4 linked regions of the Coturnix japonica genome follow. The protein of the gene in region 2 interacts with the protein of the main gene of each other region in a pairwise test. Links are inferred from orthologs where the notes say so. Each region holds a gene or a part of one and is shown on either strand. Other genes may lie near its edges.

Evidence for each region. The genes of interacting proteins can lie anywhere in the genome.
Region 1: the proteins of STAT3 (region 2) and BLK interact in binary tests that used the Homo sapiens proteins (3 or more experiments, as listed by UniProt). The link is inferred for Coturnix japonica from reciprocal best matches to the Homo sapiens genes STAT3 and BLK.
Region 3: the proteins of STAT3 (region 2) and NFKBIZ interact in a two-hybrid assay, tested with the Homo sapiens proteins (2 studies listed by BioGRID and IntAct). The link is inferred for Coturnix japonica from reciprocal best matches to the Homo sapiens genes STAT3 and NFKBIZ.
Region 4: the proteins of STAT3 (region 2) and BMX interact in binary tests that used the Homo sapiens proteins (3 or more experiments, as listed by UniProt). The link is inferred for Coturnix japonica from reciprocal best matches to the Homo sapiens genes STAT3 and BMX.

What each region holds. Positions count from the first base shown.
Region 1 is NC_029518.1:97,832,678-97,840,138, reverse strand, and holds the start of BLK (tyrosine-protein kinase Blk), read right to left. Parts: upstream 4,851-7,461; 5' UTR 4,686-4,850; coding exon 4,609-4,685; intron 1-4,608. UniProt on the Homo sapiens protein: Non-receptor tyrosine kinase involved in B-lymphocyte development, differentiation and signaling. B-cell receptor (BCR) signaling requires a tight regulation of several protein tyrosine kinases and phosphatases, and associated coreceptors.
Region 2 is NC_029542.1:4,516,934-4,524,407, forward strand, and holds the start of STAT3 (signal transducer and activator of transcription 3), read right to left. Parts: upstream 5,629-7,474; 5' UTR 5,501-5,628; intron 1,797-5,500; 5' UTR 1,778-1,796; coding exon 1,650-1,777; intron 1,168-1,649; coding exon 1,023-1,167; intron 886-1,022; coding exon 787-885; intron 512-786; coding exon 416-511; intron 323-415; coding exon 241-322; intron 1-240. UniProt on the Homo sapiens protein: Signal transducer and transcription activator that mediates cellular responses to interleukins, KITLG/SCF, LEP and other growth factors. Once activated, recruits coactivators, such as NCOA1 or MED1, to the promoter region of the target gene.
Region 3 is NC_029516.1:76,524,859-76,532,446, reverse strand, and holds the start of NFKBIZ (NF-kappa-B inhibitor zeta), read right to left. Parts: upstream 4,851-7,588; 5' UTR 4,738-4,850; coding exon 4,509-4,737; intron 3,990-4,508; coding exon 3,850-3,989; intron 3,250-3,849; coding exon 3,213-3,249; intron 3,087-3,212; coding exon 2,980-3,086; intron 2,864-2,979; coding exon 2,100-2,863; intron 1,662-2,099; coding exon 1,556-1,661; intron 1,232-1,555; coding exon 1,085-1,231; intron 745-1,084; coding exon 681-744; intron 120-680; coding exon 1-119. UniProt on the Homo sapiens protein: Involved in regulation of NF-kappa-B transcription factor complexes. Inhibits NF-kappa-B activity without affecting its nuclear translocation upon stimulation.
Region 4 is NC_029516.1:109,893,533-109,901,048, forward strand, and holds the start of BMX (cytoplasmic tyrosine-protein kinase BMX), read right to left. Parts: upstream 4,851-7,516; coding exon 4,713-4,850; intron 3,721-4,712; coding exon 3,616-3,720; intron 1,551-3,615; coding exon 1,469-1,550; intron 394-1,468; coding exon 274-393; intron 1-273. UniProt on the Homo sapiens protein: Non-receptor tyrosine kinase that plays central but diverse modulatory roles in various signaling processes involved in the regulation of actin reorganization, cell migration, cell proliferation and survival, cell adhesion, and apoptosis.

The DNA of each region.
Region 1 (7,461 bases), on a different chromosome or scaffold from region 2:
CTGAATGGTGTTATTTACCAGGATAATAAATGAGAGTAACTCAGGTTCTCTTTTCGCCCAGGGAATGGAAGGGCGTCATTTGAAGTCAAGGCTGAATGACAGTCAAGGTTCCAGTACCAAGGTTACCAGTCTTAGAAAATCACCTCAGGGTCTGCCTTTGCCTTTGATACACATCTATGATCTTTGTTAGCGTTGTCTCAATACCCACCACAGGATCTTTGATATGCTTTGCCCCTAAATGGGAGATGCTGACCTGGCAATTGCTATCCTTTCTATGGAGTTGGGGTATATGAGAAATAGCAGAAGTCCACTATAGTTCAGCCATCAGTCATGTCACTGGGACTGTTTCATGAGAGGATCAATGAACAATATGCAGGATGGAGAATGCACATTTTAGGGTCTTGAGTCACTCCCAGGGATGGCACTGGTGGAGCAGTGTCAAGGGAAAGCATGGAGAGATGTCAACTACAGCAAGTGCCATCAGATGACAAAGGGCTTTGTAGCCATCCTATCTATACTGACAAGGACTGAGGAGAGCAGGGACCATGCTCTGAGCTCTGTGTCCACAAAGTGTTTCTGTGTCCAGTGGAGCATCCTTGGGACATCTGGGTGTCACTGAATGACTTGGGTTGAAAGGGACCTCAAGGATCATCAAGTTCCAACCCCTCTGCTGCAGGCAGGACAGTGTCCCACCACAGAGCTTTCTCCTCACATACATACAAGTGTCAAGGACACGTCTGTGCAAAACCAGACCAAGAAGCAAACAACTTGTCCCATCTCAGGCGGGAAATAGAACTGGTGAGAAATCTCCGGTAAAGGTCATCCGCTCCCACCCACGTCTTTTCCTGCACTGCACACAGAGATTTGCACAGCTCTGGGTAATCATAACCCCTACAAAACCCAACGTTCACACTGCCAAGGCCTCTGGTATCCAATGAGACGATCCTTCACATCTGAAGGTCCTAGATGTATCATCAAGTAATGCCGCAAACAAACAGTGGCCAAAACAGAACGCTGCTTGTCATCTCCCAGCACACTGCTGGTGAAGCTTTCATTTGTTTAATTTCTTTTTGACCCTCGAAAGAAGGTGGCTGATGGGAACACACACTGTTCAAAGCATTACTGCTTATGGTTAATTTCTTTTTAAATCAACATTGCATACAAAAAAAGAGAGAAAGATTGAGAAAAATAACTAAAAGTAATTAATTGCCCTGGCATTTTATTTGCTCTTTTTTGTTGTTGTTTTGTTTGGTTTGGTTGTTTTGTTGGTTTGTTTTTTCCTGGAGGAAAAGAGTGCTGAAGAGAAAATAGTAAGTCAGAGAAACATGAAAACTTCCTCTTCACCCATCTAAAAATGTTTGTCTATGGGGCTGTGAGCAACCTGGTTTAGAGAGAGGTGTCCCTGCCTACAGCATGGGGTTGGAACTGGATGACATTAAAGGTCCTTCCCGACACAAACTATTTTGTGACTCTATGATTTTTAATAACTGAATGAGAGGAAATCTTTCTTCTTTCTAACAGTCATTGAGTACAGAGAACAAAATTATTCATCGCATTGCTAATACTCAACCAAAACGTTCTCGCGTTCACTCTTTTTTTCACTCATTTCCTCAAGTCTACTCAAGTTCAAAATCGAGACCATTATTTATTTTAAGAACATCTTTTTAAAGCAACCAGAATTCAAAACCGAATAAAAGTATTTGATGCAATGCAAAATGTTACAGATGTCCAGCTCAGTTGCTGGTATATTTTGAGAGAGTCAAGTGAGCCCTTGCTGAGCAAACTGAAAGACACGGGACGGTGAGCTCTGTGCAGCATCCATCTCTGAACAAATGCACAACACACATGCACATCACATACATGTTGGATGCTTGGATCAGACAGAAGGTAATTTTAATGGTCTTTAGAGGGGACATTTTGGCTCAAGAGAGCTGGATGCAGGTACAGATGTTCCTGAAACAATGGTCCAAGGGGGAGTTCTGAAGATCTCATCAGAGCTCAGCTCAAGCAAAGCTTCCATTGACATCTGGGTGACAGATCTGTGGTGGAGAATCAAGGATGTGACTGAAGGCCCTATCAGTGCCCATCTTGGAAAGGGTTTGGAGAACATGTCCTACTGGAACAAACCATAAAGCTGTGCCTGAAGCCCCATTAAAGAGTCCAGCAGAGGTGAACACAAGTCTTTGCTGATCACAAGCTTTGGAGATCTGCCTTATCTCAATCCTCAGCCTTCTCAGTGCCTTACGGTATCAAGAAAACAAGATAGTGACAGAATGGACCTGCTGTATGCACACACTCTGTATCTGTTGTAGCAGATAAGAATAGGACAGAGGTACCTGTGCTAAGCCAGGTGCGGCAAGCATGACCTAATTTTCCTATCCTCATTATGATAAGCAATCCTGCATCATAGGCATGCCATCTCCTGCACTTGGCTTCTTTCTGCTACCCAAACAAATGTTGCTTCTGATGTGAATGCAGTAATGTCTTCTGCAGTGGGGATGTGGATAATACAGATGAACAGCCTTGGGATTGCATGGGCGTGCATGGGGAAACAACAAGACCGAATCTTGCAGAAAAGCAGAAGTCTCAGCTCTTTATTTGCCTCACCCCCATGAAACTGTGCCATGGAAAAATAACTTATGGCCTGAGCAAGCCAATAGTGTTTTACTTTGGGGGCAGCTCCAAAAACCCCTAAGAATGGTGAGATCACAAAATGAGCCCCTTTACGTTCAGACTTCAGAGGGGGTCCAACAGAGTGTTTTCATAGGTGACCAAGATTAAATATTTCACTTTGTTTTAAAATATCAGAGAGTCTTTCTTAAGAAAATGCACTTAAAAGGAAATAATAGCATTAAAAACAAAGAAACAAACAACAAAAAAGCTATAAGAGCATATTCTAAAAATGAAGGGTCTTCAGTGCTGAAGTTCTCTTTCTCCTACCAGAAAGGATGAATGAAATCATCTCACTTCAGATACAGTGATTTAGTTATGCCAGATTCACAGTTTTGCATAAGTGAGGAGAAAAAAGATCAGTTGAAATTGCCCCCCCCAGATCTACGCATGTCCCACATGCATTAAATACTACAGAAGCTTTCTTCTCTCTGAACAAAACAGTTCATCACATTTCCAAACTAGGCAACCTTGGATTGCTTTGCAAGACACAGCACCAAAGAATTACAGAAGAGCTTGAGTAGATCAGCCACACAAATGGGAACAAAGAAGCCATCAAAGCCATCACTACTGTGACTGCTTTCCAGTTTTGCTGGGGTTTGGTAAATATGTTTTTAATGCTATGTTTAAGTGTGTGTGATTAGCGGGTCTGTTGCTAGGAGGTGGTTAGAAGTCAAAACTGAACAACAAGAACTGTGCTGTGCTATAAACAGCTTCAGTCCCGCAGAAGGTCTGCCTCAGAAAGAAGGTGGTGCACACAGTGCTGCGTCCCCAGCTAAAGTCATGATCACCCCTATGACCAAAAGCTGCTACTCACTAGGAGAGACCAGAGCGTGCATAGAGGAGTTAGAAAAGGAATGTAGAAAGTAGAGCTGGAGAGCACAGAGCTGGGAGCATCATGGCCTTTGTTGGAGAGTGAAGTAGATGCCTATGTTACGTGTTGCATCTACACAAAATCACAGAAGGCCTGGAAGTTTCCTATTGGTAAATCTCAAACAGTTCAGGTTGGATGTTAGGAAACATTCCTGAAATAGTGGTGATGCAGTGGCACAGCTGCCCAGGGAGGTGGTGGGGTCACCATCCCTGGAGCTGCTCCATAACCATGGGGATGTGGCACTGAAAAACATGGTCAATGGGCATGGTGGTGGTAGGTCAGCATCATGCTTCATGATCTCAGTGGTCTTTTCCAACCTTCATGATTCCGTGAGCGCCCTTTCAAGATGCTTTCATCATGAGCTCAGCCCCCATGTTGTGATGGCCAGGTGGGGATGGATCTACAGGAGCTGACATCCTGCAGCATGGAGATGGAGGTGTGTCGGAGAAAGGAAGGAGGACAGGGCCAGGAGAAGCACACAGAACTCTTAGGGTGCCAGGAATGTCTCTGGGGCTTACCATGTATGAGGGATGTTATCACAAAGCTGCATTGCTGCATGACAATTTCTGTTGGCATTTCCATCCAAAGCTTGTTCATGGGCTATGGGAAACTACATCTCCAGCCCTTCTTCTGAACACCTCTGATTGCTTGGAAAGCCAAGTCAGAAACAGCTCCTGAGCTCAAAACCCTTCCCCTGCTGATCACAGCAGTGTCCAGCTCCAGCCAGCCTCCCCCACATTTACACTTCGATCTCTTCCACCGCAGGCCCTGGGGGATGGGGAAGCAGGGGGATGGGAGGACCAAGGTACACACACCTGGCACTCATTTCTCTCTTTTAGCTGCAAACCAAGGGAAATGCCTCCCTGAAAACCACCCCTTGGGGCTGGATTATAGCAACCTTTGGTGCTGCTCCCATCTTCTCTCTCTGTCCTATGGATCGAGGGGGAAGGAAACATGGCAAGGAGATATCAAATGAAAAAGGAATAGGAAAGAGGAAGAAGGTAGAAGAAAGCCTCTACTAACCTCAGGGAAACGTTCAGAGGGATGAGATGAGCCCTACTTGCCTGTTTCCTATGAAGCTGCTCCTGGAGACCCGACCCGATGGACGAAGCACTGGTCCGACCCATGACCGATGCTCCATGGGGCTGAGAGCCTTCAGAAAGCTTCCCTGCTAGAAATCCCTGGCTCACACCACGTCCCCACCATCCATAGGGCTGAGAGCTCTGAATGTTGCACCCCCAGGTATGCAAGGAGCAGCCTGATTTTGTGATCGCGTTTAATGGACTTTCTTTTTTTAATCACGTCTCCGTGTCAGAACTGACTCCTTTCTTCCCTCAGAGGATTCCTTGCTCTATTTTAAATACTGGCATGATCCATCCGGGAGGGGGGGCAAGTTGCACTTCCCAGACAATCTGGACAAAATAGCACTGAGGAAGGCGAGAAACTCAGAGAGAACCCAGGCACAAAACCCAGCAAAACCCGCAGGCTATTAACAGCTGTCATTAAAACAAGCTACGATGATGGTGAATGGGTTGTGTTTCCACTATGCAAACCACCAAACTTTAGGAAACAGCTGAACAAACGGACTTTGCAGTGATTAAAAACAGAACGAAAAAAATAATAAAAATATAAAAGACCTTTTTCAGATGAAATGCCTTTTGTTCCAGGGAGCCCCAACCCTCTATGAACCTACTCAACCATAGCATTGAGGGGGCAACACAGTCTAATGACGTAGACCTGGACAGGGACTTGTGGGTGACTCTGAAGAAGTGACTTTCTCATTCTGCCTCAGCACGCTCAATAGGAAGGCTGAAATTTGTCTGTTTCTCAGGAGACAACTGTTGTATAAGGAACAAAATTTGTTCCCACTGACTCCTGAGGCTTCCCATAGGGTGCCTAGAGGGATTCTTTCTCTGGGGTATTTTCAATGTGTTTGTGGAGCGGACTTATTGGGCCACCGTTTGTTGTCTTTAAGCTGTTGCAAGGACAAAGTCCCCCCCCCACCCCAGAAAAAAAACACTGAGTGACCTCAGTGGGTTGTTGCATGCTGTGGTTTTGTAGCATTTGGGTCAGCAGGAGGGAAGGGATGCTGGGTCTCAGTGTTCTTGAGGTTGGAGAGACCTCATGCTTTGTAGTTCAGCCGCTCTGACAGGGAAGACAAACGTAAGCTGACATCCGCTCAGTGCAGTGCACAGCCCCAAAGTCACCCTCATTCTGGTGATGTTGTTGGCAGAGGAAAGGCTTCACGGGGCAGTTTTGAGATCAAAGCAGAGGACCCTGAATGGCTGTAAGATCCAGGGACAGGACAGGGCTGGCTGAGGGCTCAGTGCTGTGCATGTAGAAGCATGGAATCATATGACCACATGGGGAAGTTGGTCCAGGATGCAGGTGCCCATTGCCCCAGTGCTGCTCATGGGCATTGCCTCTGCAAGTGATCTGTGCTCCTGGCAAAAGGAGAACACCCAATGGAGGGCTGCAAGTCTGCAGGACCTTAGGCTGAGCCTTAAGTAGGAATCTGTGAGTACTTTATCTTCTCTGGGGCCATTAACAGATAGCTGGCAGAGGCCAAGGTCAGCGCGGGTTCTCTCTGCAGACAACCAGGGCAGACACCCACCCAGCTGCCCCCAGCCAGGTGTGTGCAGAGCCAGGCTGGCTGTTTGCATACTGAGGAGATGCAGAAATGAGGAAGCCCTTGCAGATCTGGCAGACTTCTCCCTCACCAGCTTGCATTCTGCTGTCCCCACTCTCCTCCAGCTAAGGGCAGAGGAGAGGACATAGAGGCAGAGGGGACTAGGTTGGGGCTGGATGTCAGCATCAGGGCTAGCAGGAGCACTTTGAGCTTTTGGGAAGAGCTTTACTCTTTGGCAGAGAGCTCATCTGAGGTACCTGACTGCTCTTTGCTAAGCAAGCTTCACTTCCTATTCCTACAAAAAAGGAAGTTGCTTTTTTAGAAGGTGGTTTGCCATCCACCACAGAGGTAGGAAGGAGAAGCTGCCATGAGGTGCAGCAAAGGTTTAGAAATAAGGCTGCCAAGTCATCTTGGGAAACAGGGCTGCAGCACAGCAGCTCCAGACAGAAACCTGCTTCTGATTTGAGACACATTTCCAATTCTGGCAATGGGGAAACCCAGCAGCCACAGCCAGGACGCTGTGCAGACCTCTCCAGTCATGGACACATTTAAAGCAGCTCAGAGAGAGAAATTTAAATAAGCAGAAGAGGTAAATCTATTGCTCCCTAAAATAACCTGGATGTGATACTGGCTGTTACCTGCAGGTCAGCCCTTCATCTGTTGCCTCCAGGGTAAGTTGCCCACTTACCATGTCTGTCCCTCACCTCCATGGTTCTTGAATAACCCCAGGGGCAGTGACTCCACCACCTCAATGGCTCTGTAAGAAAGATCTCAAGGACCTACCACTCCAAATGACTAATTTAGCCTAGTTTATCATCTGAACCTTCCAGCTTCCGTTTCCCTGGCAGATTAAAAGCTAATTTAATGCAACATAGTGCTGCTTGATGAAGATGCTGATGTGTGATCAACAACCCTTCAGCCTCCATTTTCATAGGAGCCATAAGGATTCCCCAAGTTGGAATGGACTCACAAGGATCATTGAGTATAACCCTTGGTTCCACACATCACTACCCAAAATCCAAGGCAAACTCCTTGTTAGGATTTTATGGGGCTCTCCCTTGTTTAACTTGTTGAATCATGTGTGAGCTGCATGGCTACCCCAAGGGACGGGGATGAAAACATAGCAGTAGCTTTGGCAGAATCTGTTCTCCTTGCACCCGGGAGCCTGCCCATGTGGGACAAGATCTCCTCCCCAGCCCTCCCTGTCAGGCTGCTCACATCATGCTTGTTCTGGTTATTTGCGTCAGCTGAGACCCCGACTGACTAGTATTCTCCCTCTGGTGCTGGA
Region 2 (7,474 bases):
GCATTATCACCTTCTCATGCAGTTCTCCTTCCACAGGCAAAGCTCAGGTTTGGATCCCCTGCAGGCCCTGTCAGCTTCTTTTTGTTTCTGTCACTATCTCCAATTGCCATGCAAATGCCCTAACACTAACCCACCCTTCAAGCTTGGGTAGGAGGCACTGGGAGGGCTGGAACACACCCTCCGGCATGTTTCCTTGCAGGAACACACTTTGGCTTGCCAGATGCTAATGAGCTTTAATACCTCCTTGGCTTTTCAAAGTCTTGTAGTTAAAATCAAAGTCATCCTGGAGATTCTCCACCACTTTCATCTTCTGCTCCAGATCCTGCAATGCAAGAGATGGGATTTGTTCAAAGTACAACATCCCCACAGCACTCCTAGAAGTACCAGGGGAAGAAGGTGCCCAGGCAGCACTTACCTGAACTCTCTTCCTTACATCCTGCAGATGCTGCTCCAGCATCTGTTGCTTTTCTGTCACTACAGCTGCTGTTGGATGTGTCGCCTGTCCCCCTTGCTGTAGAAGGGACAAAGGAGGGCATCAGAACTGGGCTGTAACTCAGGAAGTTCTGCATAAAGTCAAACCCTTTACTACACAAACAAACAAACTTAGCGCAGAGCACTGATGCACCCCAGAGAGCTGGGGGTCATCTGCCCTTCACTGCAGTTTGAGCACCCCTCTGAACTACCATTGCTGAAAGAAACATGTAAGAAGCTTCAGACCAGAGCTTCCTGATGGCACCAAGCTCTGCAGAGCTGCTGGGTGGGCAGAGGGACACCTGAGTCACCTACCTGGGCTGCAGTGGCAGCTGTCTGGAGGAGCCGTGACTCTTCCCACAGGCAGCGAGCCACGATGCGGGCTATTTCCATCGGCTTCTCCAAATATCTGCTCTATAAAACATCGAAGGCCTCAGGGTTAGCCTTCAAACTATAACTGCTGGGATCTCTGTGTGCTGTAGGGCTGGATCTGTGAGCTGTGACAAGGAGGCCACTGCACTTCAGTAACAGAATGTTGCCTCCCACCTCACCTGCAGGAACTGCTTGATGCGCCGCAGGTTGTGCTGGTACAGGACATTGGATTCCTGCAGGAAGCGGCTGTACTGCTGGTCAATCTCCCCCAGCAGGTTGTGGAACACCAGCGTGGCGTGTGACTCCTTGTTGGCAGCATATGCCCTGCATGAGGAGACAGCAGAGCCCTTACACCCAGCCCAGGGGAGGCACAGCACAGTGCTGCAGGAAGGGCAGCTCTGTGAACACCTGCTGCCCCACACACAGCCCAGCATCCCAGTGACTGCCTAACCTACATCAGGATGCAGCCACAGTTGGCCTTGCTCCCATGAGAGCAGGGAGACAGAGGTGTTTCAGATGCTGGAAGACAGCAGGCACAAGCACCTCAATTCCAACCTTGTTTAGAACAGAGCTTGACGTAAACCCTGACACCTCTGCTGTGGATTTCCCCTTTCTCCCAGTCTGAGGTCTGACACCAAACACACAGACTCCCACTCCATTTCACACTGCATGCAACGCAAGGAGGAAGAATAGACCCAGCACCCAGAGAAGCTGGCAGAGTCCCTCCAGAGCCGCCTGGCACCTGCCGCTGTCCCCAGCTGGGGGTCCCAAGTGCAGTCATGTGCCAGAGCTGGGCAGTGCCTTACCAGTCCTGGCTCTCAATCCACGGGGCCAGGAACTGCCGCAGCTCCATGGGGAAGCTGTCGCTGTAAAGCTGGTGGAGCTGCTCCAGGTACCTCGTGTCGAGCTGCTGCAGCTGGTTCCACTGCGCCATCCTGGCCGGCTCCGGAACCCTGCAGGGACAGGCAGGTCAGCACAGCGCCCCTGAGCCCACAGGCTGCCCCCCTGCACAGCACACGGCTTGGCTCAGGCTGACCCTGGGAAGGGAAACAGGGAAGGGCTACAAGGCTGCAGTGCGCTGGGCTGTGCCCACGGGGCTGAGCTCTGCACTGATCCAGCAGCGAGAGGGCTGCCTGCCCACCTGCCCTCACCACCTGATGCTCAGCACGCAGCCAACAGCCAGCTCCAGTTCTCCTGCATTAACAATCCAGAGGCAGGAAGCTCTGCCCTGCCATGAGCCCCGGGACAACGCTGACCTCCAGCTCCCAGCCGAGCTACAGTGAGGAAACCCTCCCACAACAAGCAGCTGTCAGCTCCCAGCTCAGCACTGCTGCCATCACTGTCACCTGTGCTGAGAGGAGGTGGAACCACAGACCCAAAGCACACTGCCACTGAGGGACTAATGGGCACGAGTCGGTGTGGGCAGCAGATTGGTCAGCATGCAACTGCTCAGGGCTCCAGGCTGGAAATGTACCCAAAACCAGGGCAAGATCCACTGCGCTGCCCCAGCTGGAGCTGAGGAACACCCGGATCCTGACTCATCCTCCCTTCAAAGTTAATCCAAAACATCTGAGAGCAGAGCAGTGTGTCTGGCTGCCCAGCTCCAGCCTCTCCCATTCCTAAGCAGGACCTCAGCCATAAGAACCCCCAGAATGGTCACAGACACAGACAGGCACAAAGCCTCGCTCGGTTTCCTTGGAAAAAAAACCTTTCCCAAGCACCTGCCTTCGGATAAACTTCCTCCTAGAGAGGCACCATTTCCCAGAGCTTTCCTACCTTCGTGCCCGGGGGAAGAGTGAAAGGCTCGGGCATGCAGGTCACAGCAGCGGGGCCGGGGCTTTGATCTGCTGCCAGCCCCTTCCGCAGCCCCGCAGTCAGCCCTGCGCCTGCTCCCGAGGGCAGGGAAGGAGCTGCAGCGCTTACAGTAAGTGCGGAAGGCGGAGACTGCCAGGAAGCAACAGAAACGAGGAAGGAGCAATTTTCAAGTGAGCGGCTCGCACATCAATAGGAGTCAGAGTCAGCCGAAGGAGCGACAGCAAGCTGTGCAGGAAGCACAGACACAGCAGCACCACTGAGCCTCACCACGGGCTCACTTCCCCCAGAAAGTGGTTTGATTTTTGCAGGCAACCCCAGCAAGTGACACGTCAGCAGGAGGCACAGGGCTGGCACATGGCTGACACCAGAGCTGTCCCAGAGGCACTGGAGATGGGCACTGACTGGGGGGGAGATGTGGGGGCCACAGCTCTGTGCCCCGGGTCCCCCCCAGAGCAGCTGGTGTTTGTTGTATGCGACCCCTCCTCTATTTCTGTGGATAGTTCTTAGAGGAGAAAAAGGGGAATCAGCCCCACCATGAGACGTGGGGAGATGACACACATTGATTGGCACCCGACAAGGAGTTAAGCTGCTTTTTAGAGCTTTGTGGCATTGCGCAGCCCAGCTGACAGCAGCATCCAGAGGACATTAACCTTGAACCACAGCCTGGTGCAATCTCTAGAGAAGATCATGTGAGCAAAGCCTGGATTTAACAGAGCAATAGGTGAAAGGGAGGAGGAGAAACAGGAGCCTGTAAGGAGACAGACATTCTGTCAGACTGGAGGGAAGACTCGGCTCTGTTTGACACGTGTGTGACCCCAGGACTTCTCTTTTCACACCACGACAGGCCGGGCCCTTTGCTGTACCCCATGGCTGCTCACCAGGCACAGCACAGGGAGCGCTCCCAGGTGCTCACACTGCTTTTAGCTGAGTGCTATAGAGGCTGCCAGCACAGTGTGAAACATGATGGGGGGGAAATGAAGCAAGAAACACACAGCCAAGAGCTGAGAATCCACAAACCACCGACATCCGCAGCTCCCGCCCTGCACTGCCCTGATCCAAGCAGGTCTCCCATAAGCAAAGCTCTGCTCTGGGTCTCACTGGGCCGTGTTTGAACCCAAACCCGTACAGCACTGAAGGAGAAGTCCCTGCACACCACCCTGTGTGCAGCCCAGGGAGCAGCAGCTGCCCTGCAAAGTGCTCAGCCACGTTCATCCCTGAAAAACAGAACTTGCACAAAGCAAAACAACCTGCTCAGCCTCATCCCACTGCAGGCATCTCCTCCCAGCGCAGGCACACAAAGTGATGAAGGAAGTGGCTGCAGAACATACGCACAGTACAATAAGAGGCACCACAAAGGACTCAGTGCTGTGGGAGCGAAGCAGCCCGTGGGGATGGTTGCTGCCTTGAGCTGCGCTCACTGCTTGCTGGTCCATGGGTCCTTTCAGCCCTTTTCTCCAGGGATATCAGCACAGACACAAACACCACATTGAGTTTTTACGCCCCTCAGCTTAATGGGCTCCTGACCTACAAACTCCCCCCACGCCACCACAGGAAAAGGGCTGTGAACAGCATCCACACAATGTGCTGCGCTATGGGCTCTCGCCAAGTGGGACAGCTCTGCTGCAGCGGCTGATGGCGGCTGCCAACCCATCAGTCACAGGAGGATGAGGAAAGGGAGGGAACGTCTGGGAGCAGCAAGGAGACAGGAAGAGGATTCTCCTCCTTCACTGCAGCTCACCCCTCCCAGTGGTGCCCAATGCTCTGTGACCCCCTGACCACCTGCTCTATGAAACCTTCCACAGCGCCAGCCCAAAACCCAACACAGATCCCTCTGCAGCCCATCCTGCTGTGGGGAAGCTCCCGGGGCAGGTTTAAAAGCCTGAGGGCTGAGCCCTAACAATGCTGATGGGTTTGCTGCCTCCGTGGTTCATCTCTCACTGCTGGAGAAGAGCCAAAGAGCAACTGATGTGAGCGGGGCTGAGCACAGCATGACGCAAGCGCTGAGGTAAACAAGCTGTGCAGAGCTCAGAGCAGAGCGGCTAAAAGTAGCCCCAGAGTTAAAGTTCATCTTTCTTTAGCTTCCCTGCAAGGGCAGAGCACGACAGCCTGAGCTCAGCAGTGGCACCACAGCTCCACGTACCCCAACAGCCACAATCGAGCAGTGCTGCCATTGAGGGAAACAGCCCCACGATGGGCTCTGTGTGCCTGGATGTACCTGAGAGCATCCCCCTGTGACACAACTTACAGGGGCTTCACCAACAGGAAGAGGGAGCAGAGGGAGAACATTGAGACACCCTGAGAGCGCTGCAGCCACCTGGACGGGGCTCAGTGCCCACGGTGCAGCTCCGCTGCGATAACAGCCACCCCCACAGCACAGCCCAGCCCCGGCAGCGACCTGCCCCGCTGTGCTCTGGCTCTCAAAGTGCACAGCACGGCACAGCACAGCCCGGCACAGCACGGCACAGCACGGCACAGCACGGCACAGCACGGCACGGCACAGCACGGCACAGCACAGCACGGCACAGCACGGCACAGCACGGCCCGGCACAGCGCGGCGCTGCCACACACCGGACCGCAGGGCTCAGCTCCATGTTCCCAGCCCAGGCGTTGTACCGTGCACCCGGCGCAGTGTCCGCCATGTCGGTCCCGCCGCTCTCAGCTCCCCGCGCTCGGGGCTCAGTGCCGGGCTCTGTCGGTGCAGCAGCTTCGGGGCCTCCACGATCGTCCCGTGCTGAGGCCCGTCGCACCCGAGGCCCGGCCCCGCTCCCCCCGCTCCCTCCCAGTCCCGTCCCGTTCCCTCTCGCTCCGTTCCCCGGTTTCCCATAACTCATCTCACTCTCACCGTCGGTTCCGGCCGTGCCGGCGGTTCCCGGTGCCGCTGACGGTCGCGCTCCGGTCGGTTCCCGGTTCCCGACTGCGGCTCCCGCAGCCCCGGCCCCGCCCCCCTTCACGTCACGCGGGGCGCAGCCAATGGCGGCGCGGCGTTCCGTCCGCCTCGGGAGGGACGGGCCGCGACAGCCAATCAGCGCGGCCGTCCCGAGGTGACGTCACGGATCGCGACGGCGCCGCTTGGGGGCGCTGCCCCGCGCCGGCTGTTCCCGGATGGCGCCGCCTCCCGCCGCGGGGCGGTGCTGGGCAGGGGGCGGCGCGGGGGGAGGTGGCAACTGCCGGGAACAGCCGTGCGGGAAACCCGCTGAGTTCCGGGCAGCGCCGTGACGTCACCGCGCGACCCGCCACCGCCGCCGCCTCTTAAAGGGGCCGCACCCCCCGATGTTCCCGGAGCGCAGCAGCGGCCCCGCGCGGAGCGATGCGGGTCAGCGCCCGGCACCGCCCGGTCCGCGCTGCGGGGACACCCCCCCCCCTCCCAGCAATGGGATCCCGCAGCTCCGGGCCGGGCACGGCCACCCCCCGGTACGGACTGTCCGACCCCAGCCCACCCCGTGCTGGATTCAGGCCGTTTCCCCGTCCCGTTGCTCAGCAGGCGCCATGCTGCTCCGTTACAAAACAGCCTTTATTAGTTGTGCTGCTCACCAGGATGCAGTCATACAAAACAATCTGAGCTTTGTCCAACGCGCTGCGACCGACGGGCGGCAGCTCCGCCGCACCGAGCGGGACACGGCGCCGCCAACGGGGACACGCAGCCACGGGCACAGGGCAGCGCCGCGGGGCGTCAGACAACGAGAGGGAGAACGGTCAGAGAGGAAAAGCGAGTTTATATACGTGGGTACGGCGGCAGCGGACACGGCTGCGCGGGGCGGAGCGGGGCCAGAAGGAAACGGCACGTGGGGCAGCGCCGGGCGGACGGGACGGGAACATCCCACCGGCCCCGCGCACCCACATCCCGCACGTGCAGCCGTGGGGCCGCAGCCTCCTGCCCGCTCCTGCCCCGCTGCCGGCGGCGGCTGCGTGTGAGAGCGGTGCGGGCTGAGCCGGGCGGTGCCGCGTGTGAAACTACAGCAACAGAGCGAAGGCACCGAGAGGGGAAATGGGGAGAATGGGGGGGGGGAAGTGCAGGACGTGGGCACGAGCCGGAGCCGCGCCAGGACCCCTGGAGGAAGGAGACGCTCCGAAACGCTCCGGATGTGCTGGATGTCGGGGCTGCTCGCTGCCAGCCGGGCGCTCCCACAGCACCAGCACATCCCAGGCTCCTCTGTAAGGCAGCTCGGCTGGCGTGGGCTGCTCTGGAACAGACGCCCGCCCCCTCCATGGCCGTGTGCACTCGCTGCCCACCCGTGGTGGCACGTGTGGGTCGTGGGGGGCAGCGTCCAGCTCCGCACGTTCCCTGCCCAGCCCGAATTCAGGCAGCTGGGATTTAACCCGAGCTGCTCCATGATGGCAGAGTGTGGGACGAGGCAGCAGGCGCAGGTTGTGGGGGCTCCGCAGTCCCAGCAGCAGGTTGGGTTTGTGGCACAGCTCTCCTGGCTCCGCCACAATGACCTGGGAGGAAAGAATGGAGCAGACCGTCTGCGTGCCACGTGGCTGCTCAGCTTCACCATTACTCTGCCCATTGAATGTGCTCCATTCTTCCCTCCCGCACGCTGGGGTGCGTTGCAGACCCTGTGCTCCTCGGGCGGCAGCTTGGATCCCACACATCCTGCTGTCTGCAGGGACACTCAGCCTGGCGCAGGGAATCGGGGCCTTGAGGGCTGGGCAGGCGTTCTTGACACCAGGTCTGTGCTCACAGAGGACACTTGAGCGTTTCAGGTGTACAGCTGTTATCTTGGTTTTAGCACTCTCCAGCTGGGCTGGGTCCCCGTTGCTCAGAGCCCTTCTCCAGGTCTGGGCTCTGGAAGGCTCTCATGCAGCTGCAGCAGGA
Region 3 (7,588 bases), on a different chromosome or scaffold from region 2:
CAGGCTCTTGTTTCTCAGCAGAAGTTCCTGAACCTCAGGGGAGTGAGGTGGCTGACAGTTCTGTAGTTCATGCAGCACAGCATTATGGGCCAGAACAGCGCAGTGCAGGGCTGTCAAACCTTAAGATGACAAATTCAACATTAACGAGTGAACATAATAAAGAATTCTTGACTGGCTGTTTGCTTCCACATTTCTAAGTAATAATGGCTACTACTCCTGAATAGATCAGGATCTGGGGCTGTTAGTCACTCTAAGTAACACATAAGAATCTCTGTTTAATATACTTCTTTAGAGAATGCGCTTCAGGAAGATCTATTGCATGGAAAATAGGTTCAGTTAAAACAGCTCTCTGGCACTAGAGATACTGCATTTTATATCCACCAATAAGCCACTGGCACTCACATTTTAAACAATAGCCTATTATCATCTATCCTTTCCATGCCAAACACGTCAATCATACATAAGAGAGAACAGGGAAAGATCTCAACAGGCAGAGGCTAGCCAAGCTTTTATCTGACGGATATGCCAACTGCAACGCAATTTCAATTCTAATTGTGAATTTGAACCTGGCAAAGATACAATCCATTTTATTGCTCTTCTCCCAGGATAACATTTACAACAGCAGCTATAAAACCCTGTATCACCCAGTAAGCCGTAGCTATAAACCCCAAACTACTCACCATCATAGTTTGTTGCCTCAAGGTCCACATATTGATTGCTTCCCATGGCTCCCTTTTGGATCGCCTACAAATGTGGGAACAGATATGCATTTAGGTCTACCCCAAACCACATACTGATTCCTCAAGCTTGTATACAGTCTTGCCTGCAACAAAGTTGCAGTCAGGAATAGTATTAAAGACTTATTTATTGTTTGCATATACTACACTACCTAATCACTCACTGGTGGGAATCTTACAGCAAGAGTCAACCTCACTTAAAACCGTTAACGTAGAGTCTAAGACATATCAAAATGCAGCGCAGAAGAAAGATAAGAAGAGGCACAGTATTTTTGTAGCCCTCCCAAACTGCTAATCCCAAGTTAAGAACTATGGATAGGGCAGAGCTATGTCTGCCTCATTCTCACCTGAAGGACCTGGGCATGCCCCTTCTCAGCACAAACATGCAACGGTGTTCTACCCCAGCAGTCTGTGGTGTTGACTTGAGCCCCCAGGCTAACCAAATCCTGCACAATGAGATGCTGGTTGGCAGCCACAGCAACCTGGAAAGCGCTCTGCAAACATTGAGAAGAAAATTTCAACTATTAGTCATCTGATCTCTAACAGGAAAGAGCAACTAAAACAAATAAAAAAGCCTAACTACCCGGTGTTATTTAAGCAGTGATTATGAATACCAGGAAGCCAGGACAAAAGTCGAGTGTATAGTGTTACCAGCTCAAGGTGATCCCAAGAAGTATTAATAGCTCAAGGTTAATATTAGTATGCAGACTAAATCTCGGTGTTAATATTAAATAAGTGTTTCACCACATTTTCCTCGGGGTCCAGACATCAGAGCACTCAGGTGCACAAAGCGGGTGGGAAGAGTTTGAAAACCTCACCTGGCCATTGTGCTCTTTAATATCCAACATATGCAGAGCAGCCATTTTCCTTGCAAGGACGTAGGAGAGAGCTCGTCGGCCCTGGGCAACAGCAATGTGAAGGAAGCTGCGGAAAGAGGGAAAACAATTAGATAACCACACTGACTAGGGCTCAAGTCATCAAGCGATTCCAAACGTACATTGTGGGAAGGGCTTTACACTGTCAGCTTCAGACTTCATCTGAGTGACTAAGATGGATACTCAGGCACCTTCCTCCCAAGGCAACTTAAAGCATCTAAAGTAGAATCTTTTTTCCTCTCAATTTACCAGATAATAATCTAATAAATACCTGAAATGAGATGATACAACTATCTTATCTACTTACTATGCTGCAACTGCGTGCATCACAGCCCATCAGCAAGACCACAACTGGTGAAACCACTGCACTCGTGACACAAGCAACAGTAACAAACAGCTTCCACTAAAACTCAGTGGTCCACCAAAACCTGAACAGAAGTGTTCTCCAACCTTTTACTTCAGAAACAGTGAGATAAGGGCTACTCACGTGTCTCCATCCGAGTCTTTCGCGAGGAACTGGTCTTGAGAGATGTTAGCCAATTTGTTTTCCTCCTGCTCCACTTGCCACTGGAAAAACGACTTGCCCAGCTGCGTTGTGTTTCTGGCAACACTTTGGGGTGGTAGAGAGACATTCAAAGTGGCCAAAGAGACACTGCGTTCAAGACCACCGCAGACATTACTGGGAGCCAGGCTGAAGTTCTGAGCATGAGGGCTGACGTTAGCCTGTGGGTGGGCGCTGGTCAAGGACTGGAGGGGAGCAGAGATGTTCTCTGAGCCTTCAGAGTCATTCAGGAGGGAGGAGAAACTTTGCGACGGGCAATATTGCAGTTCATGGCTCTCGTAGGCATGCTGGTGGTAGCCTGGAGACTGGTCACTGGCAGAAAACGGCCTGTACTCCAGAGATGCATCCGAAGTGTAGTTCTGTGACAAATCCTGGCTCTGCGAGGAAGGAAACTGGTAATGCTGAGGCGGATCGAGCATATTCTGAGAGGTGTGATCTTGGAATGCTTGGTACTTCTGGGGTGGGGAAAAAGCCTGCGTTCCAGGACTGTCGTGGTATTGCTCGCCAGGTGAGTTGTGGCTGGAGACACCATGCAACCAGCTAACCTGCACTGTATTCAGGGAAACAGGGCTGGACTCGTTCTTAATGTTTATGATGTTCTGAAGCAGATCAGAACTGCTGTCATGCTTTGGTTCATTTTTATGCGTTTCTTCCACGTTATCCATTGAGGTCGGGGTCTGGGGAGGTGTCTGTCAGAAGAAGAAGCAAAACAAGCCCCACAGAGTCAGAAGTCTTGTTTTAAGACATCATTTCTGGTTACAGAAAAACAGGCAGAGAAAAGAAGAGAATTCTACTTCAAGCTTACCAGGAGGTGTGGGTGAATATTAACTTGGCGTTTGAAAGGAGGTCCATCAGAAAGGAGCTCAGAAGCCTTTCTTTTGCCACCCTGGCCTAGAATGCTCTTCAACTCTGCTAAAATAAATAAATATCTCAATAAATAAACGCATTTAAAACCCTCTTAGAGACTGCTCTTACAATCTATTCTTAAAATACTATTGCAGGGTATTTAGAAACGTTCAGGTGTTTGTTTTTTCTTACCTGTGTAGGGTTCGTAGTTCACCAGTCCTCCTTGTGCCTTTTGAGGGGGGGGGGGGGGTGGAAAGAAAAACAACCAACAAAAACAGGTTATTTGATCGTTATCGTGCTATTCCAAAGAAAACAAAACAAACAAAAGCAGAGCTTTGCTTCTATAAGCACTGAATGTGTCTTAGAATAATCCTAGCACAGGGCAGTCAAACCCTAATTTAATTGTTTTCAATTGAGGTTAGGAAACATAAAGAGTTTTATGCAATTTAAATGAATACCAAGTGTGTTTTTTTTAATGAAGGCTTTTTTAATAAGCTATTTGTTACAACACCACAGAACTCATGAAAACGTAGAGGAAGACAACATTTCCCCAGTGAGGTCTCAAGATTTTGCTTCTCTCTTTAACGTAAATAAGGCTTCCCATTTTCTCTGTTTCTCTGTCTGAGGTGCCCCCCCACCCCGCAGGAGCTGTCGCACCCATCTCCTCCCAGCTCAGTCCTTCCACAGCATGCATTGAAAAGGAAGAATCATAACTCCATCCATAACAGATAACACCAGAAATGCGACAACTGCTTTATCGTGTGTCTTCCTTCACCAACCTCAGTTCTGGTTAAACCCCATCGTATCAGCCCTGACAAACGCTCATTACCTTGTTTTCGTCCGCAGCGGGGCCCGAGGACATCTGCTTACTGCTCCTGAAGTGCAGCAGGAGCTCCTTCACCGAGTTCTTCACGCGGACCCCCTGGAACGGCCCTCTGTGCTGTTTTCCTCCCCCCATGTGCTGCTCTGCTGTCGAGAGAGCACAAGGAAGACGGAGCTTAAGCCGCGGGGTCGGCATTCACAGAATCACAGAATGACCCGGGTTGGAAGGCACCTCAAGGATCATGTAGTTCCAACCCCCCTGCCTGGCAGGGCCACCAAACATACACCTTTACTAGATCAGGTTGCCCAGGGCCCCGTCCAACCTGGCCTTGAACACCTCCAAGGACGGGGCATCCACAACCTCCCTGGGCAGCCTGTTCCAGGACCTAACCACTCTCCTAGTGAAGAACTTCCCCCTAACATCCAACCTAAATCTTCCCTCTTTCAACTTAAAATCATTTCCCCGTATCCTGCTATTGTCAGCCCTTTCGAAGAGCGGCATTCACGAAAGCAGACGAGCCCGTGGGAAGCCACCCGAAGTCGCAGCCGAGAGTCTCCTCCAGCTTCACCGGCCCAGCGCCCGCAGACGAAAGGTCGGGAAAGAACCCGAGCGCGGAACCGCGGCCGCCTCCACGTCCCCTCCCCGCAGCCCCGGCCCCGCCGTACCTTGCAGCGCGGGGCGGGCGCCTCCCCGGCCGTCCCTCCGGCCGCCGCCGCGGCTGCTCACCGAGAGGTCCGAGTCGGAGCCCGGCGAGCCCGGGGCGGAGTGAGCCGGCGAGCAGCTGCCCTCGCTGGAGTGGGGCGAGGCGCCGTAGAAGTAGGCGAGGTTGATGGGGCTGCTGAGCGCCCCGCCGTCGCCGTCGGGCGCTGCGTCCCGGCTGCTGTCCACGATCATGGCGGTGCCGCGGGGCGGCGGGCGGCGGAGAACGGCGAGCGGCGGCGAGGAGACGGGAACGTCCAGGGCTGAGCGAGCGACGCGGACACGGGGTCTGACGGGCGGCGGCAACAGCGCCGAGCTTATAGCGGCTCCGCCCCGACGGCAGAGGCGGACCCGGGCACGGGCGGAGCCGCGCTTCCCGTAAGGGCGGCGGGGGGAGGCGGGACGCGGCCGCGCCCGGGACGGGGCTGGGGCACGCAGCCAGGCAGAGTCACCCCGCAGCGGCTGCCCAGCGGGGAGCAGGCACGAAAGCCGCCTTGTTTTCGTGCTGCGGTGGAGGCGGAGCGCAGCAGAGCGCGGAGGTGAAGCTGCGTGGTGCCTGTACTAAGCACAAGCGCAATCTCGCACTCGCTTTTAACATCAACCGCACCGGTCGGTTAACTGTATTCGCAGGGCACACCTGTCCCATTTCTGCCTCTCCAAAAGGTGTTTCTGCTGCCTCAGCTGTTCCCGTGCTCACCGTCGCACGAACCCGTGTTTGTCCGCAGCAGGTTGTGATTAGGATGTTGTTAGCGCTGCGGCTGCCCCGAAAATATGCAGTAAAACACCACTGTATTTCTGAAGTATATTATGCAAATTGGAGGTCTGTAATTTAGGTTATTATATGTGTTTTAATTGTGCTAAAAAAAAAAAAAAAAACATGGGGCAGGTGCAATGTGAAATTATATTAATCAGCTGTGAGGAGGCAGGAGGGAATTGCTTTGTATTATTCAAACGTTTTGTCCCCTGTTGAGTGAGGAAAGGGTTTCACTTGGCAGCATCTACAATGTCCCACTGCAAAAACTCTGCTCTTAAAGATCCCTGACCTCTAGGACACACTTTACACACTGATGGGAGGATCCATAATGAAGCTTTCTGTTAACAAATCTGACTGATCTATCCTAATTTGCACATCACTGCTCCGTAGATGGGAAGCAAATGGTTTTTAGTCTGGTCAGAAGGGTCTCCAGCTCATCTTTTAACTAACAATAATGTGAATCAGAGAAGTATACAGATGGAAAAAAAACACCTAGATTTAGTGTCACAGTGGTCTGTAATTCCCTTAGAAATGCCAAGGGTAAAAGTGGATGTCAAACCAGAAGTGGACTTCCCTCCTCTTAATTCTGCTGGGTCACGCAAGGTCCTTAAAACACATACAGGCAGAGTGAGCAACTCCCTTATCGCTGCTATTCCGTCATCATTTTGGATCTGACTTAATTGAGGATTAGCCTCTACACATAAACAAAAGTATCCTATGAAACAACGTAACAAGCTTTTTACCTTGATGCTGTGGAATTTCTGTTCTATTTCAAAGCTGCAAGTACTGAAGGCTGAATTATTGATCTGCTCCCACTGTACCACGCTAAATCCACTTCAGGTAACGCTCCGACACCTTAGATCTCACGCGTTTCATCAGCAATGTCTCATTTATCAGGTCTCCTGACATAAATCTCTGCTCCCCATCAAAGCAGATTAAGACAAGTCTAAATCCACCAAACTCTGTTAACAAAAGACTCTTTCAAAAATACACACACCCAATGTTGCACAAGATGAGCCGGCTCCCGACAACCTCTCAAAGCGCTCCATGCGAGTTACTGGCAAATTATTGCTACATTTACAAATTGTAATTATTAATACTGCAGACCTCGAACGTTTCTCTTGGCTCAACCACCACGTAACATCTCTGGTGACCAAAGCTCCAGCAGATGTCTTCAGCCTAAGGAAATTCCTGCCAGGCAGGGTAGCAACCAGAAGGGCTCATCACCTCTTCTCCTGCCAGGAGAGCTGGCAGAGCCTGTATGGACAGCCACGAGCTGGGAGGAGAAGGTCAGCAGGGAAGGAGCTATGAAGGTGCTCACCAGGCAGCTTCAGCCAGCTCTGGCTGAGCAGTAACCCTGCAAAACCCCTGGAGCTGCAGAGCCAAGAGGCCTGTGTATGGGGTGGATGGCTCAGCTCCATAAGCAAAGGCCTCCAGGTTCTCATCACCCCTCCTCTTGTTCACTGCGATGTATCAATAATGCCAACTAGTGGCCAATATTAGCAACATTTGTCCTGAAACCAGTCTTGAACGGGGCAGCAAATAGTGAGATGCGCTTATGTTCATATCTCAGATCGCTGCTACAATGAGACGCAATGTATCGGTTTTCAAATCAAAACCTCAGCTTCTGCCCTCGCTGCCAATTAAACATGCAGATTAATCACTGCTGCCTGTCTCCTTGTTGCTGTCTAATTCAGAGCCAGCACTGAGCCAAGACACTCCAGAAATGCTGTCCTGGGTTTTCCCATGGACAAGGCCTGTTCTTGACACGAGAAAACAGCTGACCCACTGTCCAAAGTTGAAGCAGATCAAGAAACCTCTTCAGTGCTTTTCTGTTAAAACACATTTTCACTGTTTTCAACACCCTTCCTAACCATAACCATGAGGTTTTCCCTCATTTCTGGGTCCTGGTGCTGAGAGTAACACTTTAACGATGATAACATAACCTCAAACCAAGAGAGATTTTTTTTCCTGTCCAGCTTTCAACCATCTCTGGTTTATCCTTCCTCACAAAATGCTTATAGCCTGAGCTGGAAGGGGACTTCCAGACCATATTGCAGCATGGCATTCAAGAAACCAGAAGGAAATTTTCTGTGAAACCACCTCAATACTGGATGGGGACAACTGTTGCAATGAGCTCTGCAAGGCCCACAGCACAGGTAATGGAGGGGATCAAGCACTCCCAGCTCTTAAAAACCCAGGCTGCACAGCTCAGGTAAAGGTTTGTGCATGCTTGTAAGTTACTTCCTCCTAACACACTACATCATCATCCTCTTTAGCTTCATTGGTAAG
Region 4 (7,516 bases), on a different chromosome or scaffold from region 2:
GTTCCAGAGCTTCACCACACTTACTGTAAAAAACTTCTTCCTTATATCCAGTCTAAATCTCTGCTCTGCTCTTCTAGTTTGAAACCATTTCCCCTTGTCCTATCACAACAGACTCTGCTGAAGAGTCTGACCACTTCTTTCTTGTAGCTCCTTTTAGAAAGAAGGGGATGGGACAGACTCTTTAGCAGGGTCAGTATTAGTTCTCCCATTTGGATTTGGCATATAGTGAAAAGCATCTGAGACTAGGTAAATAGAAACAAAAAACGACATTACATTTCTCCCAAGTCGTACATCCAGGAGCCGCTTTACAAGTCTGATTGCAACAGAGAAACCTCCCATTGGTGAAGAATCTTTTATGGTATTTGCTTAGTAAATTGGTGTTTTCTTTAATTTCTGGAAAACATAAAAGAAAAAAAAAACAAGAAAGAAAACATGAAAATCTGCAACAGTGAAATCTTCATTTTTTTTAATAGAAGCAGCTGCACTCAACTGTGGGACCTCAGTGCTTACTGACTCTTAGCTCTAGACACACATCCTCACATTTCATTCTCCATACTGTTTTGTCCTCTATGATATATTTCTACCTCTTCTTTTGACATTTGGGTGTCAAGAAAGACAGTGAAGTTCCATGAAATAATCAATAGACGAAGTAGGATCCAACAGCTGTGATTCCAAATCATGTATCTTACAAAAATCTCACAATCAATAATAAAAATAATGCAACATTTTTATATCAAAATATACTGAATATTTTCATAGAACTATCTATTTTAAGAAAACAACAATCTGTGAAACTCAGTATCAGATACTCAATACCTGAAACAGCAAATCCAATCTGTTTATCTGCTAAAATATATCTAACATTTAAGCATGCCAAAGGGAAATGCTAACAAAGAAACATTTAGTTTATAATCCAAGCATTGCTTTACTCTACAGAACTAGCCCTGGTGCAATTTTTGTGCTAGTGGTATATTAGTTCTGCAAGTCATAACAGCATTTTTTGCTTCAGAAGACAGCTAAAAGAAATGTAGGATGAGCTGAGTGAGACTTTAAAAACTGATTGCTTCTGGACAGGGTTCCAAATATCTTGAGCTGACCCATTTTTAACCCTAAATTTTTTGAACATGTAATAGAGGACAGAAAGTATCAGACACCTTTGGTGACCAGTACTTTAAGACACTTATTGAAAGGCATAATCATTGCAAACCTATCACACAATCTTACTCGTCACAAATTTTATTTCAAAAGATTTTACTTTGGTATATCAAAACCCTATTAACTTTCATTGGTTGGAACATATGATGAAAACATACTTGAAAATACCAGTGCATTTCAACTACCCAGATTTCAAGTAAGACTTGAACAGGTGAGAATGAGTTGCATAAAATGATAGAGCAGAGTACTTTCCTATCTCCCCTGAAGTTATTTGGTTATTTGCATACTCTGGCACACAAAGGGCTAGTGTTACCTCTATGCAAAGCTGCGAGCCATTTGTTCCGTCTCTCTTCATCAGGTGCATAGACATAGAGCAGGCCATCTTTGTACACAATCTGGAAGAGGTTGCCAGCATGGTGAGAATGTGAGACCCAATATCTTTATGCCAAAACTTGGCAACCAAAATTAGGCTTTGAAGATTCTCTGATATCAAACTTCTACAACTTACTAATGTTTCTTGGAGGTTGTATATGGTACTGTCATCACATAAGCCTTGCGTATACCACCTTAACCACTGTGGATCATATCCAAAAGAACCACTGAAGACAAAAGGGGCAGCATAGAATATTTATAGATAGACCTGTCTTCTATATACAAAAGACCTTACAATTCACAAAGAAACTCATTTTTCCACTTCAGTTTTTCCAGACTCCTCTTCCAGCTTCTGGCTGCTGTTAGACAGGCCAGTGCCTGTCTCCAAGTACTCAGAAACAAATACTGAGGCAGAATAAAAGCTTGGGGCAGTTTTGGATCAGGGAATTCTGATCTAAAGGTGATGCATTCATACTCTGTTGCCTTGGATATGTTAGTTCAGCTGTCTTTGAAAGCAAGTAACTAGTATCTACAACTTCCCACAGCAAGTAACCCAATAAATTAGCTATACAATATGAACAATCAGCTTATTTTTCTTGTGTTCAACATACTTTCTGCCAGCTTCATTTCATTCCTACCTAATAATTAATAGCATCTGCTTTGCTGTTTGGGTGATACTTAGTATAGGTTGTGTGTGTGTGAGTGTGTGTGTTAAGTCCAGGGCTTCCTTTCCCTTGTGTACATTGCTTTTCAGTCATCTGCAATGCATTTCAAGTATTGCTTTATTGCTTTGTTTGTACACTGAAGAGCACTTGTCATTAAATGTGTACTCTGTCTCGTAAACATACCAGGCTGATCAATCCATTTTCTGGCTCTTTAGTTAAATGGTGGAGCTCTGTGAGCTTTTCTCTTTAAGGCATGTTATCCAATCCACTAGACACTTTGAAGCCTCCCCTCTGACCTCCCATCAGTTTGCAACATCTTTCTTAAATTAGAGCCACCAGAACTAGACTCAGTATTCTCCTGCAGTTCACAGTACTGTCAAAACAGAGGCAGTACAGCCTGCTTGCTTTTATTCAATGTGTGCCTCTGTCAATGTCTAAAGATGCCATTAGCTCCTTTGCCCACAGCATCACACTGGAACTGGTGAAAATCAGCTATCAGAATCCTAACCCCCTTTTCAGAGATCCAGTTTCCCACAATGGAGACCCCATCCTGTGACTGCAGTGTGTATTCTTCCCACTTCTCTGAGTTGTGAATTCCTGAGATAAACACAATAATTCAAGACAAGTGCACCATTCCCTGCCATAAAAGTGGTGAGACAGAAGGGAAAGGAAGAAAGGAATGACGGTTAGGAGCAAGTAGGAAGTGAAAACCTGAGCATTTCTCAAGAGGATGCCTTTGGCCATGGCAATTTTTGCAGAGTCATTGATTAACACACTATCAAGCAGCCTGCTGCTGGTGGCTGTGCTGCTCCAGGTGGTACTCCAAGGGGAACTACGGCCTGTCTGTGCTCAGAAAACTGATACAGATGAAGGCTCTGGGGAGAACATGCTGGGGAAAGAGATAAAAAGCAACAAATCTGAAGTTACGGTTTCCTTATTTAATTCCTGAACAGTGCTTTGTGCAGCTATATTTTCTGGTACATGCACAAAGCATAGCTTTGAATTTACAGACTGAGGCCTAAGAATAGTAATCAGGCAGTCTTGGGTCAAAACCTCAACTTGACACTGGGCAAAAAGATGGGAGAGGCAATAGTGAGAGTTAAAATGAGATTTTTTAAGTCCCTAATTATGCCTTAAAAATTTCATAACCACATAAGTGTATTGATCTATGTATTAAATCAAATATGATAGAAATTTGAACAAAAGAGAAAAAATTCTAGACCCAAATTTTATCCCAACCAAGTAAAAACATTTTAACAAGGTCACGACCTGAGTAATAAGGACAGATTTTCTATTTTTAGGGAGTATGTATGGCAACCAGCCATAGCAGGTATTGGCAACTGGGGCAGGAGTGATCAGTGAAATCCTAGGATGATTTGAACATTTCACATGAAACGAACATGAAACAAATTTCATGACAAACCTGAAAAGGATATTGTCTTGCAGGAGGTGTTGATTCCTCAACATTCACCATCTCAACACATCGGATTTTCTCAATCTCGATAGACCCCTTCTTCCTTCCTCTTTTCTAAGAGAAAATAAAGCAGATTGTAACCTAATGTTAACTCAGTATGGAGCATTCTAGATTTACTGTTCTGTGTAATTTCATGTCTCCAGCTTCCATAGCTTCAAGGTTGTTAAATTTTAATAGTAACAAAAAACAATTTTGGTGCCCCAACCACATTTATATACCAATCAAAATTGCTTTTAAAGTCAATTACAAATTACAGGACACAGCCCTACATCTGAGAAAACATCTGCTGCAGTTGTAAGAGTACAGCTGAAGAAGGGAATTGAAAGGAGAAAGAAGAAGGAGGAATTAAGTGGAAGACACTTGAACTGCAAACCAGAAGCCTAGCTGTGGCATCTGTATTTTTTGCTAAGGTGCAGGAGCATATTCTCAGTGGGTTTCCATGCAGGATCCTAATGAAACATAACTCACCAGAGGGACACAAAAAGAGAGAAAACTTTGAAATAAGTTGCCAGGGTAATATATTTGCATTCCCAACAGGAGACTTTCTGAGTGAAATCTACCCTCATGTGATGCACAGTCAGTCTCTAGAAATCGATAGCTTAACCATCTGCTTTATACGAATGAGGGATAAGATTGGGAACTAATTATGCCTCACACAAGTAATTTCTGAAGCCACTTATTTACATCACTTCAGAGGGAGGCCTGAATGAGGAAAACATCCCTATTCATCCCTATTCAAGACAATATGTAAACATATGCCACAGTTAATTACTTGCTTAAGTTTTGTTGTCTTGCAAAGGATGCAAACAGATGCTCAATGGCAAACATAGCTCTAAGTTGTTCTGAATAGAGACGCTCTTAAGCATGCAGCCAAGTGATTTCTTGAACTGAAAAAAGAATTTGTAACCCTCTAATTTTCCAGTTTTACTCAAAACAGAGTACACCTGCTTTTCTAATGCATCGCTTCTAATCAAGTTTTGCACTAGAAGAATCAGGTGATGGTTGGAATATCTTTGAATAGTTTACTTAAGAAAATGAGTTTTTACCTCTTTGCTGTATTCGTAATAAGAAAGGCTGTTTTTTGTCAGAACAAACAACCTTTTCTTGTAATTAGCTGGTGACATTTTTCTCTTCTGTTGTGACTTCTTTAAAAGAACTTCTTCTAGAATGATCTTTTTCTCCATTTTATTTCCCTAAAAGAACATTGTAGGAATTTTTATTATCACTATTGATAAATATGACAGCACCAACTGTAGAAGAAGTAATAAAGAATATATTGAGTCATTGTCTTCTATATGTGTTTTGAAATCTATAGTAATACATGGTTACAATGCATGTATTTAACACTGCATAAACAAATGAGTTTGATTAACTTATTCTTCAGGGGAAAGAATCGCATTATAGGAAAATGAAGATAAATATATACTGTATTTCTAAATAAGGCACTTCTGTTACTTCACTGTCTGAGCATCTCTTCTTCTAAAGCCATGCACACTATCTGGCAAAGAGCACAGTCTATGCACAAATGTATTACATCTGCAGCATATTATGGAAGTCATTACAGCAGCAAAGAGAACAACAACAACAAAGAAAGCCCTTCTATGTACAGACTAGAAAAACAGACCTAGTGCTGACAAGTTTGTTCCCTGAGCTGGAAATTTTCCATTTCTTTCTTTCAACTGTAACAAATGCACATTTATGGAATGGTGAAAGGTAGAAAAGATCAGTAAGTAAAAATCTTCTTGCACCACATGTAAGTACATGCATAAATGTGTTTTTCTTAACCTTGATTATCATAAAGTAGCAAATACCAGGAAGGATGCAACCTTTCTATAAACTTAGTATGGTTTCAGGTTATCTTACCGAAGTATAAAGACCAAATATCCTTTGCCAAGTGTGCTCTGGAGCTCCAAAGAAAAGTGTTCTACTAGGCTGTGCACTTTATGTGCACCCTTGTTCACCACAGAGAACACAGCAGAAAGAGAATATTTGCATGATGCTTATCATACCCACATGATGTATCCACTGAAACCTAACTGAGCCCAGAAATCAGCAATTATCTACTAGGAACAGTCTGAAGAGGAAAAGTGGAGCTTTATGAGACATGCCTTCACACCTCTGGCTGCCTTCTGTGCGGGTGGACAGAATGCCTACAAACACCTACTATCAATTCCCTTTTGGATAGGCAATGCATATTAGTCCTCCTGGTGGGTCAGAATAAGATCAATTTGACATGTGACATCAGAAGGAGTGACAAGGCTGGGGTAGATTAAAATTGCATTGGAGAAGAGAATGAATTTTCCCCCTCACTTTAGGTATTTTTGCTGTGTTCAGGGGAGGTATTTGCTCTGACTGTAGAAGTCACTAGTGACAAGCTTCATACTAGTTCAGACAGAGTAGCTTAGGGAAGCTGTCTTTGCAATGAAAATATTAGGTTGGTTAGAAGGCATAAAAACCTTGTCATTTCTACAGTAAGAACTACTTTTCTTAACTTCATGCCATCTCATTTCCTTATACTGGGAAAGCATCTAATCTTGAGCTCCAACCCACTGCAGTTCATGGAGCTCACGAAGATATTTTAGGCCAGAAAAAAATAGGTGAGTTAGATGGAATTTTAGATCATTTATTTAAAAGCAGTATGCAATATGTGCAAGTCACTTCCTTACCAGAGTGCCTTGGCTGTACTTAAAAAAATATATATATATTTCCAGCTTCTGACTTTTCATTACAATCTGAGGTAGGAAACAATTTTAAACTCTAAAAGAAAGTCTTGACAGCTAAACGACTTCCTGTCTGTATCCACTGCGCGATGCCCCTCTCTTACTACTTGTGGAAGAGAAATCACAATAACTGAAACTGTGCCAAATAAAACATTCAATATATTTTTAAACAAGATTATTGCTGCAGGAATAAAACATGTTGCTCTGCCTTTTCCCTGCCCAAGCTGCCCCTCCTCTGTGAGAAGACTCTTGTGCTGAGCTACAACTTGCTTGCACCGAGCACTCTGTCATGCTTAAGGGGGAATGCTTTTGGGAAGAAAGACTACAGAGTGGTCTGTGCTCTGTGCAAGTGTCTGCCTGTTGAGAGAACTGTGAAGTGTGGTGTCCTCCCTCTTTCATGGACGGAGCTCATTTCTTTCAACTGTGAAATCTCACATCTCTGGAAGAAAAATCTGTATGGGATTAGACACAGACATTTGTTCTGTATGGTTTGAAGAGGTGTGAAGGATTTGTGGATATCTGATTATATTTTCATGCTTAAAATTTGCTGCTTTGTGTTAAAAAGAGTTGTGCTTGTGCATAGAATCATAGAATCATTAAAGCTGGAAAACACCACAAAGATCATCCAGTACAACCATCAGTCCATCACATCATGTCCACTAATCATGTTCCTCAGTGCCACATCCATGCTGGTCTTGAATACCTCCAGGGACAGTGACTCCACCACCTCTCTGGGCAGCCTGTCACCACTCTTGCTGAGCAGAATTTTTGTCTTAAATCCAATCTGAAACTTCCCTGGTGCAACTTGGGGTCATTGTCTCTCAATCTATTGCTGTTACCTGGGAGAAGAGTCTGACTCCTACCTCACCATAACCTCCTTTCAGGGAGCTGTAGGGAGCAACAAGGTCTCCCCTGAGCATCCTCTTCTCCAGACTGAACAATCCCAATTCCCTCAGCTGCTCCCCATAAGGCTTGTGCTATTGCATTTACTTTGCCTTCTACAATGAAGTCACAAATACAAAAAAAATTTGTTCTCTCAGTAGATTTTTGAAGTCTTAGAAACCACATTTTTTCTCAGAAGAAAGGCTGTTTTGAGAAATTATCAGAACTGGATTCAGCAATAAAGAAGC